Macaca fascicularis: one gene and its partner. The protein of the gene in region 1 interacts with the protein of each later gene in a pairwise test. Links are inferred from orthologs where the notes say so. Each region holds a gene or a part of one and is shown on either strand. Other genes may lie near its edges. The genes, in order: DMPK and HSPB2.

Evidence for each region.
Region 2: the proteins of DMPK (region 1) and HSPB2 interact in a two-hybrid assay, tested with the Homo sapiens proteins (2 studies listed by BioGRID). The link is inferred for Macaca fascicularis from reciprocal best matches to the Homo sapiens genes DMPK and HSPB2.

The regions. Positions count from the first base shown.
Region 1 is NC_088393.1:53,857,438-53,867,304, reverse strand, and holds the start of DMPK (myotonin-protein kinase), read left to right. Parts: upstream 1-3,319; 5' UTR 3,320-3,438; coding exon of another isoform or gene 3,439-3,457; coding exon 3,458-3,617; intron 3,618-5,421; coding exon of another isoform or gene 5,422-5,480; intron 5,481-5,947; coding exon 5,948-6,039; intron 6,040-6,294; coding exon 6,295-6,378; intron 6,379-6,457; coding exon 6,458-6,553; intron 6,554-7,181; coding exon 7,182-7,330; intron 7,331-7,614; coding exon 7,615-7,708; intron 7,709-7,959; coding exon 7,960-8,166; intron 8,167-8,248; coding exon 8,249-8,512; intron 8,513-9,867. Other genes in the region: DMWD (dystrophia myotonica WD repeat-containing protein), read left to right, coding at 1-195, 1,054-1,128, 1,479-1,526. UniProt on the Homo sapiens protein: Non-receptor serine/threonine protein kinase which is necessary for the maintenance of skeletal muscle structure and function.
Region 2 is NC_088388.1:110,836,181-110,844,823, reverse strand, and holds HSPB2 (heat shock protein beta-2), read right to left. Parts: upstream 4,465-8,643; 5' UTR 4,401-4,464; coding exon 4,307-4,400; intron 3,800-4,306; coding exon 3,345-3,799; 3' UTR 3,147-3,344; downstream 1-3,146. Other genes in the region: CRYAB (alpha-crystallin B chain), read left to right, coding at 5,506-5,706, 6,788-6,910, 8,245-8,448. UniProt on the Homo sapiens protein: May regulate the kinase DMPK.

The DNA of each region.
Region 1 (9,867 bases):
CGCAGCCGCCTGGACCCCGCCAAGGTGCTGGGCACCGCACTGTGCCCACGCATCCATGAGGTGCCCCTGCTGGAGCCCCTCGTGTGCAAGAAGATCGCGCAGGAGCGGCTCACAGTCCTCCTGTTTCTGGAGGACTGCATCATCACTGCCTGCCAGGAGGGCCTCATCTGCACCTGGGCCCGGCCGGGCAAGGCGGTGAGTGGCTCCATGCCAGCCTGCCGGGGACCTGGCAGGACCCTTGGTGGGAAGAAGCAGTCATTGGCAGAGAGAGGGCTTTGTTGCTGTCACAGCCTCTGGCTTCGTGGGGTGAGGGGAAGCCATGGAAATCTTAGTGTCTCAGAACAAGACCTCTCAGATTCCCAGGTGGCAGGCAGCAGAGAGAGGGGTGGGTGTGAGAGCCAGCTGGGAGACGGGGCGTCCAAGGCTGGCCGTCTGAAGGGCAGCAGATGGGCCCCGCATGGCCAAGTCTTGCTGCCTGTCACTCGAACCAAAATCTATTTCTATTGAACATCTGTTTTTTAAATGGTGAAACTTTTTTGAGTACTTCAGGCCAAAACTCTAGGGGCGAGCTCAAGCCTGTGGGCATGGCTGCCAGGCTGGTTCTGGACTCAGGATCTGAGCCTCCTGCTGAAGGCACAGTCTGGGAATCCCAGGCCTGGGTTCCAGTCCCATTCCCTGTGTGATCCCGGACAAGTCACTGCTCTCTCTAACCTCCAACTTATCACCTAAGTCTTAGAGCCTGTAGAATGGGCAGAGGGGGGATGCGTTTGCCTCCTGGGTGGGCTATGGTGTTGGAAAGGTCACAGTAGGCAAAAGCAGGCCTGGCATCTTGTCAGTCCGGAGCTTGTCTTGGGTGTCTCCGCTCCTTAGGGCTTGGACTCAGCTGCCCAGGGTCCTGGAGGCTGTGGCTTGGTTCCTCAGATCCTCGGTTTTGGTATTGTAGAGTCCTGAGTCCCTAGAACTTGAGAGTACAGTCTGAGTGCCTCAGAGGCAAGAGTGGTGGGATTTGGGGAGTCTGGTTGAGTCCTAAAAGAGACCCCTCTGTCTCCCTAGTTCACAGACGAGGAGACCGAGGCCCAGACAGGGGAAGGAAGTTGGCCCAGGTCACCCAGCAAGTCAGTGGTAGAGGTAGGACTGTCCCTGAGTTCTTTCCCCAGCACCTCAGGGTCCCTCCCAAGTTAGAAGGGAGCCCCAGTTTCCCCCTCCCCTCACACCCCTACCCTTACCCCATCATCTCACTCAGGATCTGCCGAGGACTTTGATTATTGAGTGAAAGTGCCGACTGCCAGGACAGGAAGCTAGCTAAGATGCAAATTCCCAACCTAGAGCAGCGGCCTCTGGGGGCTCTGGGGTGGACCCAAGGGCAAGGCCAGGGTGGCAGCAGCTTTGGGGACTCTGGGCTGGCTCCCTCCCCTTGACACTGGCTGAAGTCCAGGTGGTCTCTAACCCCTCCCATTTCTCCCTCTCATCTTCCCCAGGGCATCTCCTCCCAACCAGGCAACTCCCCGAGCGGCACAGTGGTGTGAAGCCATGGATATCGGGGCCCCTACCCCATGCCCCCAGCCTCCTAGCCATAACCCTCCCTGCTGACCTCATGGATCAACGTATTAACAAGACTAACTATGACAGATGGACTGCGCCGGTCCCCCAACCTGCACAAAATTTGGGGGCCCCCCCAGACTGGCCCAGACACTGGGGGAATGTAATGGCCCTTGTGGCCTCAGCCTTGTCCCCCACCCACTGCCAAGTACAATGACCTCTTCCTCTGAAACATCAGTGTTACCCTCATCCCTGTCCCCAGCATGTGACTGGTCACTCCTGGGGAGAGACTCCCCGCCCCCACCACAAGAGCCCCAGGTCTGCAGTGTGCCCCTTAGTTGAGTGGGCAGGGCTGGGGGTGGTCCAGCCCTCACCTGGCCCCCACCCCAGCTGCCCTTGCTATTGTCTGTGCTTTTGAAGAGTGTTAAATTATGGAAGCCCCTCAGGTTCCTCCCTGTCCCCCAGGACCTCTTATTTATACTAAAGTTCCCTGTTTTCTCAGCGGCTCTGTCCCCTTCGGAGGAGGTGGTGTAGAGGACCTGTGTGTGTGCTCTGCGGTTCCAGGCAGTCCGCTTTCCCCAGAGGAGGAGTGCAGGCCTGCTCCTGGCCCAGCGCCTCCCACCCCTTTTCATAGCAGGAAAAGCCGGAGCCCAGGGAGGGAACGGATCTGCGAGTCACACGGCTGGTGACCCACACCAGTGACTGGAGCAGGGCCCTCTCGGGGAGAAGAGCATCCTGCCCGCTGCCAGGGCCCCTCATCAAAGTCCTCATTGGGTGTTTTTAAAATTCTCAAAACTGCCCAGAACCTCATTTCCCAAGCCCTGCCCAGCTGGGACTCCTTGGTCCTTGCCTCGTTTCTCAGGCCTGGCCCTCTCAAGGCCCAGGCACCCCAGGCCAGCTGGAGGCCCCGACTTCCACTCTGGAGAACGGTCCATACTGGAAAGAAGAGCTCAGATCCCTCCTGGCTCTCGGAGCCGCAGGGAGTGTCTTCCCGCGCCACCCTCCACCCCCCGAAATGTTTCTGTTTCTAATCCCAGCCTGGGCAGGAATGTGGCTTCCCGGCCAGGGGCCAAGGAGCTATTTTGGGGTCTCCTTTGCCTGGGGAGGGCTTGGCTCCACCACTTGCCTCCCCCAGGCTTTGGGCAGCAGGTCACCCCTGTTCAGGCTCTGAGGGTGCCCCCTCCTGGTCCTCTCCTCACCACCCCTTCCCCACCTCCTGGAAAAAAAAAAAGTGTAAAGCAGAGAGCCTGAGGGCTAAATTTAACTGTCCGAGTCGGAATCCATCTCTGAGTCACCCAAGAAGCTGCCCTGGCCTCCCACCCCTTCCCAGGCCTCAGCCCCTTTCTCCTACCCAGCCCTCAGCCCCCAGCGCCCAGCCCCCAGCGCCCAGCGCCCAGCGCCCAGCGCCCAGCGCCCAGCCCCCAGCCCCCAGCGCCCAGCGCCCAGCGCCCAGCGCCTAGCTCTGGAGCTTGTCAGGAGCAAGGGGGTGGTTGCTACTGGGTCACTCAGCCTCGACTGGCCCCATTTTAGTAATGGGCAGGTTCCTCTTGGAATCCATCACACCTGTGGCTTCCTCTGTGCTCTACCTTTTTATTGGGGTGACAGTGTGAGAGCTGAGATTCTCCATCCATCCCCTCTAGCACTGAAGGGTTCTGAAGGGCCCCGGAAGGAGGGAGCTTGGGGGGTGGCTTGTGAGGGGTTAAGGCTGGGAGGCGGGAGGGGGGCTGGACCAAGGGGTGGGGAGAAGGGGAGGAGGCCTCAGCAGCAGAGAGAAGTGGCCAGAGAGGCCCAGGGGACAGTCAGGGACAGGCAGACATGCAGCCAGGGCTCCAGGGTCTGGACAGGGGCTGCCAGGCCCCGTGACAGGAGGACCCCGAGCCCCCGGCCCGGGGAGGGGCCATGGTGCTGCCTGTCCAACATGTCAGCCGAGGTGCGGCTGAGGCAGCTCCAGCAGCTGGTGTTGGACCCCGGCTTCCTGGGGCTGGAGCCCCTGCTCGACCTTCTCCTGGGCGTCCACCAGGAGCTGGGTGCCTCCGAACTGGCCCAGGACAAGTACGTGGCCGACTTCTTGCAGTGGGGTGAGTGCCTGCCCTCAGGGCTCCTGCAGATGGGGTGGGGGTGGGGCAGGAGACAGGTCTGGGCACAGAGGCCTGGCTGTTGCGGGGGCAGGATGGCAGGATGGGCATGGGAAGATCCTCCCATCCTGGGGCTCAGAGCGTGGACCTGAGTCCTGGGACAACATTTCTCTGTCCTATGCCACCACCCTGGAGGGGCAGAGTAAGGTCAGCAGAGGCCAGGGTGGCTATGACTCAGAGCCATGGCTTAGGAGTCACAGCAGGCTACACTGCCAACAGCCTCCCATGGCCTCTCTGCACCCTGCCTCAGGGACAGGGCCAGTGTCATGCTGGGAGCTCCCTCTCCTAGGATCCTCTCCCCACAAGTGGGCTCTATGGCCCACTCCCTTGGTTTTCTGCAGCCCAGGGCAAGCCAGGAGGGCCAGCATGGGGCAGCTGCCAGGGGCGCAGCCGACAGGCAGGTGTTCGGCGCCAGCCTCTCCAGCTGCCCCAACAGGTGCCCAGGCACTGGGAGGGCGGTGACTCACGCGGGCCCTGGGGGAGAACCAGCTTTGCAGACAGGCGCCACCAGCGCCCCCTCCTCTGTGATCCAGGAGGGACAACTTTGGGTTCTTCTGGGTGTGCCTCCTTTTGTAGGTTCTGCACCCACCCCCACCCCCAGCCCCAAAGTCTCGGTCCCTATGAGCCGTGTGGGTCAGCCACCATTCTCGCCACCCCAGCTCCCTGCGTCCTTTAGTTCTCCTGGCCCACGGCCTCCAACCTTCCAGCTGCCCCACAAAGCCCCTTCTTGCAAGGACTTTCCAGGGCCTGGGGCCAGGGCTGGAAGGAGGATGCTTCCACTTCTGCCAGCTGCCTTGTCCGCCCATCTCCTCCCCAAGCCCAGGACTCAGGCTCACTGGTCACTGGTTTCTTTCACTCCCAGCACCCTGCCCCTCTGGCCCTCACGTGCCTGGCCCTCAGCGACTGGCACTTGGTCTTTGGTCTGTGTGTGACAAACTGTGTGACACTTGTTTCCTGTTTCTCCACCTTCCCCTGCTTCCTCTTGTGTCCATCTCTTTGTGACCCAGGTCTGGTTCCTCTCCCTCCTCCTCCCATTTCACAGATGGGAAGGCGGAGGCCAAGAAGGGCCAGGCCACTCAGCCTCTGGAAAAACCTTCTCCCAACCTCCCGCAGCCCCTAATGACTCTCCTGGCCCCCCTTTAACAGAGGATGAAGTTGGGCTGGCAGGGTAAACTGAGACCGGGCGGGGTAGGGGTCTGGCGCTCCAGGGAGGAGCACTCCTTTTGTGGCCCGAGCTGCATCTTGCGGCCCCTCCCCTGCCAGGCCTGGGGCGGGGGAGGGGGCCTGGGTTCCTGCTGCCTTAAAAGGGCTCAATGTCTTGGCTCTCTCCTCCCTCCCCCGTCCTCAGCCCTGGCTGGTTCGTCCCTGCTGGCCCACTCTCCCGGAACCCCCCGAAACCCCTCTCTCCTCTAGAACCCACTGTCTCTTCTCCTTCCCTCCCCTCCCATACCCATCCCTCTCTCCATCCTGCCTCCACTTCTTCCACCCCTGGGAGTCCAGGCCTCCCTGTCCCCATGGTCCCTGAGCCCCAAGCCTCCACCCCAGCCGGTCCCCCACCCAAGCTGCCCTGTTTAACATTCCTAGTCATAGGACCTTGACTTCTGAGAGCCCTGATTGTCATCTGTAAATAAGGGGTAGGACTAAAGCCCTCCTCCTGGAGGACTGAGAGATGGGCTGGACCAGAGCACTTGAGTCTAGGATGTGTGACCATGCCGGCTTTGTCTCCCTGTCCTGTTCCTTCCCCCAGCCCCAGATCCAGGGTTTCCCAAAGTGTGGTTCAAGAACCACCTGTATCTGAATCTAGAGGTACTGGATACAACCCCACGTCTGGGCCATTACCCAGGACATTCTACATGAGAACGAGGGGGTGGGGTCCTGGCTGCGCCTGAACTGTCACCTGGAGTCGGGGTGGAGGACTGGAAGCCCAGGAAGGTGGAAGAACTGGGTCTTATTTCCTTCTCCCCTTGTTCTTTAGGGTCTGCCCTTCTGCAGACTTTGTTACCCCACCCTCACCGTCCTGCACACCCTTGGAGCCCTCTGGTCCAATGCCCTGTCCCGCAAAGGGCTTCCCAGGCATCTCGCCTCTATGGGAGGGCAGTTTTGGGTCCCCTGAACCTTACACAGTGTTTATGTGGGGAAGCTCTTGGGAAGCAGACAGTCCTAGGGTGAAGCTGAGAGGCAGAGAGAAGGGGAGACAGAAGGTGGGGTTTTTCCCCTTGTCTCCAGTGCCTTTTCTGGTGACCCTCGGTTCTTTTCCCCCACCACGCCCCCAGCGGAGCCCATCGTGGTGAGGCTTAAGGAGGTCCGACTGCACAGGGACGACTTCGAGATTCTGAAGGTGATCGGACGCGGGGCGTTCAGTGAGGTAAGCTCAACTGGTCGGCAGCCCGACTTGACTTGTGGTGGGTGGGGCATAAGGGTTGGGGTGGGGCCTTAGAAATTGATGAATGACCAAGCCTTAGAACCTAGGGCTGGGCTGGAGGCGGGGCTTGGGACCAATGGGCGTGGTGCGGCAGGTGGGGCGGGGCCACGACTGAGTGCAGAAGCGGGTGGAGTTGGGTCTCGGGGAGCCCTTCTGTTTTCCCGGCGTCTCCACCTTGTCTGCCTCTCTTGGCCTCAGGTAGCGGTGGTGAAGATGAAGCAGACGGGCCAGGTGTACGCCATGAAGATCATGAACAAGTGGGACATGCTGAAGAGGGGCGAGGTGAGGGGCTCGGCGGGCGTGGGGGGCTTTGAGGATCCGCGCCCTCTCTCCGGCTGCAGCTCCTCCGGGTGCCCTGCAGGTGTCGTGCTTCCGTGAGGAGAGGGACGTGTTGGTGAATGGGGACCGGCGGTGGATCACGCAGCTGCATTTCGCCTTCCAGGATGAGAACTACCTGGTGAGCTCCGGGCTGGGGTGACTGGGAAGAGGTACAGAGCCCATGCTGTCACTGGATGAGGAGGTGGGGAGAGGAAGCTCTAGGATTGGGGGTGCTGCCCACCACAAGTCCCCCACGCCTGTGGGAGAGTCTGTGTGCAGTAAGAGGGTGTGTCAGGTGGATGAGGGGCCTTCCTTATCTTGGACGGGGATGGGGTCCCTCACTGCCCCTTTCTGGGGTGTTTTGGGGGACTCCTATAAAGAAGTCTCTGTTGGGGGGGTCTCTTACCTGGAATGGGATAGGTCTTCAGAAATTCTAACGGGGCCACTGCCTAGGGAGGGAGTGTCTGGGACCTATTCTCTGGGTGTTCAGTGGTCTATGAGTTCTCTTTCCCAGAACATCTCAGGGGGAGTGAATCTGCCCAGTGACATTCCAGGAAAGGTTTTTTGTTTGTGTTTTTTTTCGAGGGGCGGGGGGCGGGGGCCGCAGGTGTCTCTGATTTGGCCCGGCAGATCTCTGTGGTTATCTCTGGGCTGGGGCTGCAGGTCTCTGCCCAGGGATGGGGTGTCTCTGGCAGTGGTTGTCCCGGCCATCCGTGATGGATCAGGGCCTCGGGACTACCAGCCACCCATGACGAACCCCTTCTCAGTACCTGGTCATGGAGTATTACGTGGGTGGGGACCTGCTGACACTGCTGAGCAAGTTTGGGGAGCGGATTCCGGCCGAGATGGCGCGCTTCTACCTGGCGGAGATTGTCATGGCCATAGATTCGGTGCACCGGCTCGGCTACGTGCACAGGTGTGTGTGGCATGGCTGAGGGCTAGGGCGAGGGGATAGCAAGCTTGTTCCCTGGCAGGGTTCTTGGAAGGTCAGAGCCCAGAGAGGCCAGGGCCTAGAGAGGGACCTCCTTGGTTGGGGCCCACTGGGGCGTGCCTGGGAGTAGGGTCCAGAACTGTAGAATCCCTACAGGGGCAGAACCCAAGGAAGTGGGGCCCGAGGTGGCACTGCCCAAAGGGGCAGAGCTTGGTGGGACCACAGAAGGGAGGTTCACTTATCCCACCCTTCTCCTTTCCTCGGTGCAGGGACATCAAACCCGACAACATCCTGCTGGACCGCTGTGGCCACATCCGCCTGGCCGACTTCGGCTCCTGTCTCAAGCTGCAGGCAGATGGAACGGTGAGCCAGTGCCCTGGCCACAGAGCAACTCGGGCTGCTAATGAGGGATGGGAGGTGCAGAGTGTGGGGGCAGGACTGGATTTGGAGGGGGCAGGAGGAGGTGACCCAGGCCTAAGTGTGCATCTGTGTGGCAGAGCATTAGACCAGGCAGAGGGAGAGGCTAAGCATTTGGGGAGTGGTTGGAAGGAGGGCCCAGAGCTGGTGGGCCCAGAGGGGTGGGCCCAAGCCTCGCTCTGCTCCTTTTGGTCCAGGTGCGGTCACTGGTGGCTGTGGGCACCCCAGACTACCTGTCCCCCGAGATCCTGCAGGCTGTGGGCGGTGGGCCTGGGACAGGCAGCTACGGGCCAGAGTGTGACTGGTGGGCGCTGGGTGTGTTCGCCTATGAAATGTTCTACGGGCAGACGCCCTTCTACGCGGATTCCACGGCGGAGACCTACGGCAAGATCGTCCACTACAAGGTGAGCATGGCCCCAGGGAGCCCTGGCCTCTCCAGGTAGGCGCTCCCCAACTATCGCCTCCTCTCCCTCTCCCTCTGAGCAGGAGCACCTCTCTCTGCCGCTGGCAGATGAAGGGGTCCCTGAGGAGGCTCAAGACCTCATCCAGCGTCTGCTGTGTCCCCCGGAGACACGGCTGGGCCGGGGTGGAGCAGGTGACTTCCGGACACATCCCTTCTTCTTTGGCCTCGACTGGGATGGTCTCCGAGACAGCATGCCCCCCTTTACACCGGATTTCGAAGGTGCCACCGACACATGCAACTTCGACTTGGTGGAGGACGGGCTCACTGCCATGGTGAGCGGGGGCGGGGTAGGTACCTGCGGCCCCTGCTCAGCTGCGGGAACCTCCTCATGCTCCCTCCAGAAAGTTGGAGTAAGGACAGTGCCTACCTCCTGGGGTCCTGAACCACTCATTCCCCAGAGCACCTGCTGTGAGCCCATCTAGTGCTGAGGACCCAGCAGTGACCTAGACTTATAGTCCAGTGGGGAAACACAGACCAGTCTTCAGACAGTGAAGCCCCAGAATGATCAGGGCTGAGACAATGGAGTGCAGGGGGTGGGGGGCTCCTGACTCAGCAAGGAAGGTCCTGGAGGGCTTCCTGGAGTGGGGAGCTATCTGAGCTGAGACTTCGAGAGATGAGAAGCAGGAGAGGACTCCTCCTCCCTCAGGCTGGCTCTCTTCACCGTGTAACGAGCTGTCGTGGAATGCTTGCTTGGCTCTGGGTGCCCTTTTGCTGGACAATACTGGGGATCCAGCACTGACCAGATCATCTCTGGTCCCTGCCCTCATCCACTTGCAGTCTAGAGAATTAGAGAATTATGGAGAGTGTGGCAGGTGCCCTTGAAGGGAAGCAACAGGATACAAGAAAAAATAGTGGGGCCAGGCGCCGTGGCTCACGCCTGTAACCCCAGTACTTTGGGAGGCCGAAGCGAGTGGATTGTTTGAGCCCAGGAGTTCAAGACCAGCCTGGGCAATGTGGTGAGACCCTATCTCTACAAAAATGTTTAAAAAATTGGCTGGGTGTGGTGGCGCATGCCTGTATACTCAGCTCCTAGGGAGGCCGACCTGGGAGGCTCGCTTGAGCCCAGGAGGTCAAGGCTGCAGTGAGCTGTGATTGTGCCACTGTATTCCCGCCTGAGCAACAGAGGAGAGACTCTGTCTCAAAAATAAGATAAAATTAAATTGAAATTTAAAAATAGGCTGGGCTGCGGCCGGGCGCTGTGGCACATGCCTGTAATTCCAGCACTTTGGGAGTCCGAGGTGGGCGGATCACGAGATCAAGAGTTTGAGGCCAGCCTGGCCAACATGGTGAAACCCCATCTCTACTAAAAATACAAGAAAAGTCGCTGGGCGTGGTTGTGGTTGCCTGTAATCCCAGCTACTGGGGAAGTTGAGGCAGGAGAATTGCTTGAACCCGGGAGGCAGAGTTTGCTGTGAGCCAAGATCATGCCACTGCACTGCAGTCTGAGTGACAGAGTGAGACTCTGTCTCAAAAAAAAGAGAAAAAAAAAATAGGCTGGGCAAGATGGTTCACGCCTATAATCCCAGAACTTTGGAAGGCTGAGGCAGACAGGTCACTGGAGGTCAGGAGTTCAAGACCAGCCTGGCCAACATGGTGAAACCCTGTGTCTACTAAAAATACAACATTTAGCCAGGCTTGGTGG
Region 2 (8,643 bases), on another chromosome or scaffold:
CCATAATCTGGTTCCTTTTTAGCCACCCCTTCTGTAATATTTTAAAAAGCACCTAAGCAGCTGGGTTTACACAGTGGCTTGGCTCATGCCTGTAATCCCACTGCTTTGGGAGACTGAGGCAAGAGGATCACTTGAGCCCAAGAGTTCAAAATCAGCCTGGGCAATATAGCAACAACCCATCATCTCTACAAAGTATAAAAACTGAAAAATTAGCCAGGTGTGGTGATGTGTGCCTGTAGTCCCAGCTACTCAGAAGGCGAGGTGGGAGGATTGAGCAAGAGAGGTTGAGGGTGCAGTGAGCTGTGATCACGCCACTGCACTTCAGCCTGGGTGACAGAGTGAGACTGTCTCAAAAAAAAAAAAAAAAAAAAAAAAGAAGAAGTAGAAGAAAAGAAAAGGAAATCACCTAAGGGATTTTTAGATGACCAGAAACTCCAAAGAAATCCATAGAGCAATAGAGCATTGTGGTAGCCAGAAAACCTGATATGCCTAAAGCAGCATTAATAGAAGCCTGAAGTGATAAACAAGGATATTGATTATTCCACTGAAGTCTGTACCAGTCAATCCATGACTGGAATAACAATTTTAGGCCTAGATGTTGAAATTCAAGCTACGTTATCAAAAGGCAGTATGTTCAAAATAAAGTTAATGGGTAATATGTGATGTGGAAAGTGCTATATGATATGGTTGAAGGAACAAGGCATGGCCAGGTGTCGTGGCTCACGCCTGTAACCCCAACATGTTGGGAGGCCGAAGTGGGCAGATTGCTTGAGGCCAGAAGTTCAAGACTAGCCTGGGCAACATGGCGAAACCCAGTCTCTACAAAACAATACAAAAAATTAGCCCGGTGTTGTGGTGAGAGGATTGCTTGAGCCAGGGAGGAGGAGGTTGCAGTGAGGGGAGATGACACCACTGCACACACAGCCTGGGTGACAGAGAGAGACCTTGCCTCAAAAAAAAAAAGAAAAAAAAAAGACCTAGGCATGTTTAGCTGGGAAAGGGAAGCCTCAGGAAGACAGGATGGTTATCTTTAAATATCGGAAGGATTTTCAAGTGAAAAAACCATTGCATTTGTTTTTCAGAGAAGTTACTGAAATGCAGATTTTGATTCAACAAAATCAAAGGAATTTATAACGGTTAAGTCAGTTAAGACCAAAAAGAAAATGGAGGGCCAGGTACAGTGGCTCATACCTGTAATCCCAGCACTGTGGCAGGCCAAGGCTAGAGGACTGCTTGAGTCCAGGAGTTCAAGACCAGCCTGGACAACAAAGCGAGATCTCGTCTCTAGAAAAGGTAAAAAATTAGCCAGGCGTGGTGGCACACACCTGTTGTCCCAGCTACTCAGGAGGCTGAGGCAGGAGGATTGCTTGAGCACGGGAGGTTGAGGCTGCAGTGAGCCATGAGGAGCACGGGAGGTTGAGGCTGCAGTGAGCTGCAGTGAGGCATGGCCACTGCACTCCAGCCTGAGCAACAGAATGAGACCCTATCTAAAAAAGAAAAGAAAGAACATGGAACAGGCTACCGTGGGAAGTTCTAAGTTGTCTGTCATTCAGAATGTCCCAGAATAAGTTGATTAATAACTTTAAAAGAATTTTGAATGGAGTGGGGATTTGGACTAAATCAGAAGTTTTCAAATTTTTTATAGCTGAGAAACCCTTTCCCTTAAATAAAGCTCAGTTACAAAACATATCAATGTGAAGTTATTCTGGTTGAAGTCTAAGTGGAATCCTTTTCTTATTATTTTTCTTCTCAACTAGATTCCGGAAAGTTCACAATAAAAGCTAATAGTTTTTATATTTACAATATATATTCCCCATGGTGTATTACATGAGGTTTGATAAATATTGAATGAATGAATGAACAATTAAATATATCAAATGTTATTTCTCTGGGGCATGCTTTCATTTTTAATAGACAGCAATCTTTCAACCAGAAGTTGAATTCCTCAAGTGAGTTCTGTTATCCTGGAGGTCCACAGATCCCTAAGAAGGATGTATGAATGGGTCTGAAGAGTTGTGGGAACCTATTCAAGTTGTATTGCCAAATTTGGGAGCATATGTATTTTTCTGGTAAGAGCAGCTATAGCTTTTGTCAGATTTTCAGAAGGGTCTATAACTCCCAAAAGTTAAGAAATAACCACTTAATTTAATTCAATTTAATTTTTTTGAGGCAGGGTCTCACTGTGTCACCCAGGCTGGAGTGCAGTGGTGCAATCTCAGCTCACTGCAGCTTCAACCTCCCTAGCTCATCCTCCCACCTTAGCCTCCCAAGTAGCTGGGACTACAGGCATGCACCACCATGTCTGGCTAATTTTTATTTTTTTGTAAAGACAAAGGTTTCACTCTGTTGCCCAGACTGGTCTCTTACTCTTGGGCTCAAGTGATCCTCCTGCCTCGGCCTCCCAAAGTGCTGGGATTACAGGTGTGAGCTGCTGCACCCAGCCAAGAAACAACTACTTTAATGGAAGAATTGTAGGTATCTACCACAGCCTAATAAAATATGTATTCGGAGGCAGGAAGGTCGTTTTGGACACCTCCCCCAAATCACCTAGCTGGATGTTCTCTTGATTGCAGAGAATAACTGAGGGGACAGACCCTCAGGCTTTTCTGAATACACCATACCCCCAGAGGACGGGAAGGTAATGGGGTTCCATGATCATTGGAGAGGCTTTGTGTCTGTGCCCCTGTGTATGCATACTCGGGCTCTCAAAATCAGTGACCATTTCAGTGGACAGACCTTAGTACATGAAAACAAAGTATTTACTCCAGGGCTTTAGGCAACTCTCATCAGCCAAAAACCATTTTCCCAGCCCCTACCCAAAACGGGCCAGACAGTCTGGAGACCCTTGTTTTTGTGTCTCTAATCACCAGCTCAGACAGTGCCCTCTGGGCTGTTTGGATGGCATATCCCTTTTCTCTCCCAGGATCACTCTCTCTTTTGTTGCACTGTGAGAAAATCACGGCTAGGAATTTGATCTGGAGCCAGCATCAGCTTCCGGGTGTGATCTCAGTATCCAAGTGCGAGCTCAGGGTCCTATGACGTTAGGCACATCAAACTGAGGAACTTTTTGTCTAGCTGGCTGTGACCGCCTCCCTCCCTCCCCATCCCAGCTTGCCGGCCACAGAATAGGGAGCAGCACAAACAAGGCCCTGAGATTTGGGTTTATTCGGCTCCACCCAAAACTAAACCAAGGCTATGACACGTCCCATGGGACCAAACCATACATTGTAGACCATGCACCTTTCCTTTCCCCCAAGGACGCTGCTACCTCTGGAGTGGTGGGCAGCTGCCCATATCACCATGGGAGGTAGAGAGGGATTTGCTGGGTGCTGGGTCTGTGGCAATCAGGGCTCAACTATGGCTGCCTCCTCCTCTTCCTCTGGATCAGGAGGCGCAGGGAGCAGGGAGATGTAGACCTCATTGACCTCTGTGTCCAAATGTCGGCCACCCCGAGGCGCTTCCAGGTTTAAGATGCCATCATGGGAGAGAGCAGCTCGGACCCGCCAGGGGTCGACATCAGCAGGCAGGACATAGGTGCGGCAGAACTCTCGGGACACGAAGCCGTGGCGGTCCAGGCGCTGGGGGTGCCGGGCAGACACCTCCAGCAGGTTATCCACAGTCCTCACAGTCACCTCGTCTGGGGTAAAGTGGCTCACATCCAGAAATGCCTGGAACTTGCCCTCACTGAGCCTAAGCTCGGAGGCCCCTGCCCTGCTGCCCTCCCCAGCTGGGGCGGCCCGAGGCCGGACATAGTAGCCATGGTAGAGTGTGGGGGTCAGGATCTCTTCTGGAAGGAGGCCTAAGGGGCAGAGAGAACGCAAGAGGCAGGATGAGGGAGGATGAGGCTGGCACAGGGGCGAAATGGGAAATCTGGAGAGGAGGGATTGGGAAGAGCAAGAGGGGAGTCAGGAGGAGTGGGGAACGGGAAGGAGGCCACACAGTAGCTAGGAGGAGAAGGCAGCTGGGAAGAGGGGAAAGAGAACGGAAAGGAAAGGGAGGAGGAGGAGGAGAAGCAGGGGGAGGAGGAGGCACCAAATGGCCTGGTTGATAGAAGGGGGACAAGGAGGCACACCCAGGCGGGCAAAGGGCAGGTAGCAGCACTGCAAGCACCAAGTGTGTCTTGAGGTCAGCAGGAATGGGAAAGAGCTCTGCTTGGAGGGGATGAGAGGGAGTCTGGGGTGGGGGGTGGCTGGTCCCAGGAGATCAGTTAAGCCCAGAGTGGGGTGGAGGCCAGTAACGTTGGGAGGTCAGCCCAGAATTTCAGGGGGTGGGGGTGGGAGGCAAGGGGGTGGCATCTGTGCCATACCTTCTCCGAAGCGCTGCTCACCCAGGCGGCTCGGGTTGGCAAATTCGTACTCAGCGGTGGCTGGGTGGGCATGTGGCACTGAGCGGCCCGACATGGCTGCAGATGCAGCGGGAGCCCTGGTCCGAGGTGCAGCCCCAACAGGCGCAGCGCGACCCCTCCAGCTGCCCGGAGAGCCAGGGCTCGATAGGAGGTGGGGGCGGGGTCGACACCACCCAAAATAGTGCCGAGCCTCTGGGGGGGAGGGGCGGGGAGTGGGGGCCCTGAGTGAGAGCAACGAGGGTGTGACCAGCGCCGCCTGGACCCCTAGTCCCCTCCCCCGCACACTCTTCAGCTGTCGCAGGGGGCCTGAGAGGACAGCTGAGGGTCCTGGTTAGGAACGAGCTGAGAAGGGGGAGCTGGTGGTGCCTGGGGCATGAAGAGGCCTCGCTGAAACCCTCACAAACGGTTTGCACGTTTCCACACCTCATTTTCTCCTCCTTGGAGGCCGGCACTGTGCACCCAATTCCTAAAGCACTCCTGGATTTAATGTTCTGAGAGCCACATAGGATGAAAGATGCAAGAAATCTTTCTGCTCTTTTTTTCAGGGAGTGGGGTCTTTCTGCCCAGATGTCGGAGTCCTCTCCTAAACCCAGGTCAACCCAGGGCAGGAGGCAGATGGCTGGTACCCGCATGTTGACCATCACTGCTCTCTTCCAAGGACTCACAAAGAGTTAATGTCCCTGGGGCCCAGCCTAGGAAGATTCCAGTCCCTGCCCAGGCCCAAGATAGTTGCTGGCCTGATTCCCCTGGCATTCAGGACTGAAGAGGAGGAGGAGGAGGGGCACACTCCACCGCCTGCCCCTCCACCCACCCGCGTGCCTGCTTGGGATTCCTGACTCTGTACCAGCTTCAGAGAACTGGGGTGGGGGTGGGTGCCACTGGGTGTGTACAGAAAGCTAGTGAAACAAGACCATGACAAGTCACTGGCCGGCTCAGACGTGTTTGTGTTTCTCTTTTCTTAGCTCAGTGAGTACTGGGTATGTGTCACACTGCCAAATCCCCGATCACAAGTCTCCATGAACCGGCGGTGAGCTAGGATAATAAAACCCCTGACATCACCATTCCAGAAGCTTCACAAGACTGCATATATAAGGGGCTGGCTGTAGCTGCAGCTGAAGGAGCTGACCAGCCAGCTGACCCCCCACACTCACCTAGCCACCATGGACATCGCCATCCACCACCCCTGGATCCGCCGCCCCTTCTTTCCTTTCCACTCCCCCAGCCGCCTCTTTGACCAGTTCTTTGGAGAGCACCTGTTGGAGTCTGATCTTTTCCCGACGTCTACTTCCCTGAGCCCCTTCTACCTTCGGCCACCCTCCTTCCTGCGGGCACCCAGCTGGTTTGACACTGGACTCTCAGAGGTGAGTCTCCCCACTGCTAGAATGGGAGAGTCCTTACTGGAACCTCCTGTAAACTTCTCCATCCATTTTCCTCTCCTTTCCTGCCTAAACCATTTTAGGCACATGTGTATCCAAATGTGAAGAAAAATGAGGAGGTTGCTAGTTCCTCCCTCCCCCGTCACCTGTTTCTACTTGATGGTCCTCTGTATCCCATTTATTACATTTTTTTCATGCACTGTCAAGTTCATCCTCCATCCCCTAACTTCTCTGCAGGGTACCCCTTTCTGGTTTGGTTCATAACAATCTGCAGGGAAAGAGCTGCCTTCAAACTCCTTTGCTCATCTCTTCTAACACCATGGACTCTTGACCAATTTTACCATCTCAGGTGTCAGAGCCAGGAGAGAGCCCTGCCTCACCCTGCCTGAGCTGTTCACCCTCATGGGCATTTTCTGCCTTTTTATTCCCTCTTCTGTGATTTTCTGGGTTTCTCAGGGCTGTGACAGGGCATTGGCCTGGGTCCAACCAAGCCTTATGAGGAAACAATATAGGGACCCCCACTCGTCCTAAGAGGGTGAGAGAACAGGGTGAACATATAAGGTTGACAGAAGCTGTCACAGATAACGCTCTGGTTTAAAAATATTCGAGTGTGAGTAAACAGGAGATGAGTGGGCAAGGGCTTTGGAAGGACAAGCAGGACCAGCAGAACATTCCAGATTGGGTGGGTGGAAAACTGGCAAAGAGACCTGAGCCAGAAGAAGAGGCCTTTGTCTCACAGACAAACCACAAAGCCAGGCATCGGAGCCAGAGAGGCAGCAGATGCCAGGCCTGCACCCATCCTTGCGACTGGTCCCCTGGGTGATCTGTCTTCTTCTCTGTCCCTGTAAATAAAGTTTGGGTCGGATCACCATGAGCCTTAGGTATCACTGTGGTGGCTCCCTGAAGCAGAGAGCCATGTTTATTTAAAAAGGGGATATTTTAAAGCAGAAAAGAGAAGGATGAATTACCTGGACAGAAAGCAACTCTGCAGAATAAGACAACACCAGTATAATGAGTACTTTCGCCATCTTTCTCCCGTCCCATTCCCTTACCTTGCTATTTCTAGATGCGCCTGGAGAAGGACAGGTTCTCTGTCAACCTGGATGTGAAGCACTTCTCCCCAGAGGAACTCAAAGTTAAGGTGTTGGGAGATGTGATTGAGGTGCATGGCAAACATGAAGAGCGCCAGGTATGTAGCTTGGTTTTTGTTTTCTGCTCATTCATTCAGTGTATACTGTAATAGTCCAGGTAGTGCTATCAGCTTTGGAGGCTGGCTACATTCCAGTCCCAAGCTATAATAGTCTAGATCAGGGGTTACAAATCAATGTCTAGAAGACTAAGTTAGGGATAGACCTATTGCTGTTGTTACTGTTGTTATGGCCAGAGATGTGGTCTTTGTTTGATTTGATCGCCTTAGATGGGATGATGGGATGTTGATGCCCCATCTTAGCCAGAGGTTCTGAATCTTGGCCACATTAGAATCACCAGGGGAACTTTCAAAAAACCTAATGCTCAGGCATACTCCAGACCAATTAAATCAGAATTTTTAGGGGTGGGACCCAGGGCATCAACATTTTTTAAGGTAATTCTAATCTACAGTCAAGGTTGAGGACCACTGATTTAGGTATAGGGCTGTCAGACACCTAGTTGCTTTGCATAATTACATTAACTACAGGTACCCTAAAGGCACTTGAGTTGTGAATTCTCTGTTAGCTGTGCAAGAATCCATGTCTCTTCTTTAGCCCATCTTAATGCTGAACTACTTGGTTTGTCTAAATTTCAGAGCTGTGCTCAGTCTTTAATCCCCTATAGCCCATGCGGAAATCAGTTAATGAGAGCCTGTTTGGCTACATGCTTGAGAGTCAGCAGGCATACGGGTTAAGGTCATCTACTCTTTGGGGGAATTCTGACGAATGGAACAGCTTTTCATGACTTTGTAAGAGGGCTTTAAAATTCCTTCTCACCAATTAACGATAGCTCAGCGATAGCTCAGAACCTGTGCGTCAACCAGTACAGTTTGTCCTTAGTAATGTCCTCAGGCTGTTTCAATTTTGCTCATATGATTTAGGTTTGGGTCATAGTCTCCTTGGATGGAGTCTTTTTTTTTTTTTTCCCCCAGCAGCAGTCCTATTGTTCTGGAACCTTCTGGGACATTCCTGAAGAGTCAGGACAATTTCAGGGCTTCCTCAGGGACTCAGATTCTAAATGAGATTCCAAATTCTGTAGGCCCAGTCAACATTATCTAAACCTTTGGGAAATACTCCTAAACATATCTATGCCTCAGGGTTTGAAAAACAATGAAGTGTTGTACTGTTTCAGACTTCTCAGATTCTCACTGGTAGGAGTGACTACCTAGGTAACTTCATCTTAGCCACAACCCTGAAACAAAGCACTGTTTATTTTTCCTATGTTGTCATGGCATTTGGTCTCACCTAAGGGGAAATCAGGATGCCTGAGTTCTGGGCAGGTGATAGTAGTTCATATTCTTATCTCTCTGCCTCTTTCCTCATTCTTTTGGGTTAGGATGAACATGGTTTCATCTCCAGGGAGTTCCACAGGAAATACCGGGTCCCAGCTGATGTGGACCCTCTCACCATTACTTCATCCCTGTCATCTGATGGGGTCCTCACTGTGAATGGACCAAGGAAACAGGTCTCTGGCCCTGAGCGCACCATTCCCATCACCCGTGAAGAGAAGCCTGCTGTCACCGCAGCCCCCAAGAAATAGATGCCCTTTCTTGAATTGCATTTTTTAAAACAAGAAAGTTTCCCCGCCAGTGAATGAAAGTCTTGTGACTAGTGCTGAAGCTTATTAATGCTAAGGGCAGGCCCAAATTATCAAGCTAATAAAATATCATTCAGCAACAGATAACTGTCTTGTGTTTGAATATTCCACACACTTTTAAATAAATGTACGGATACC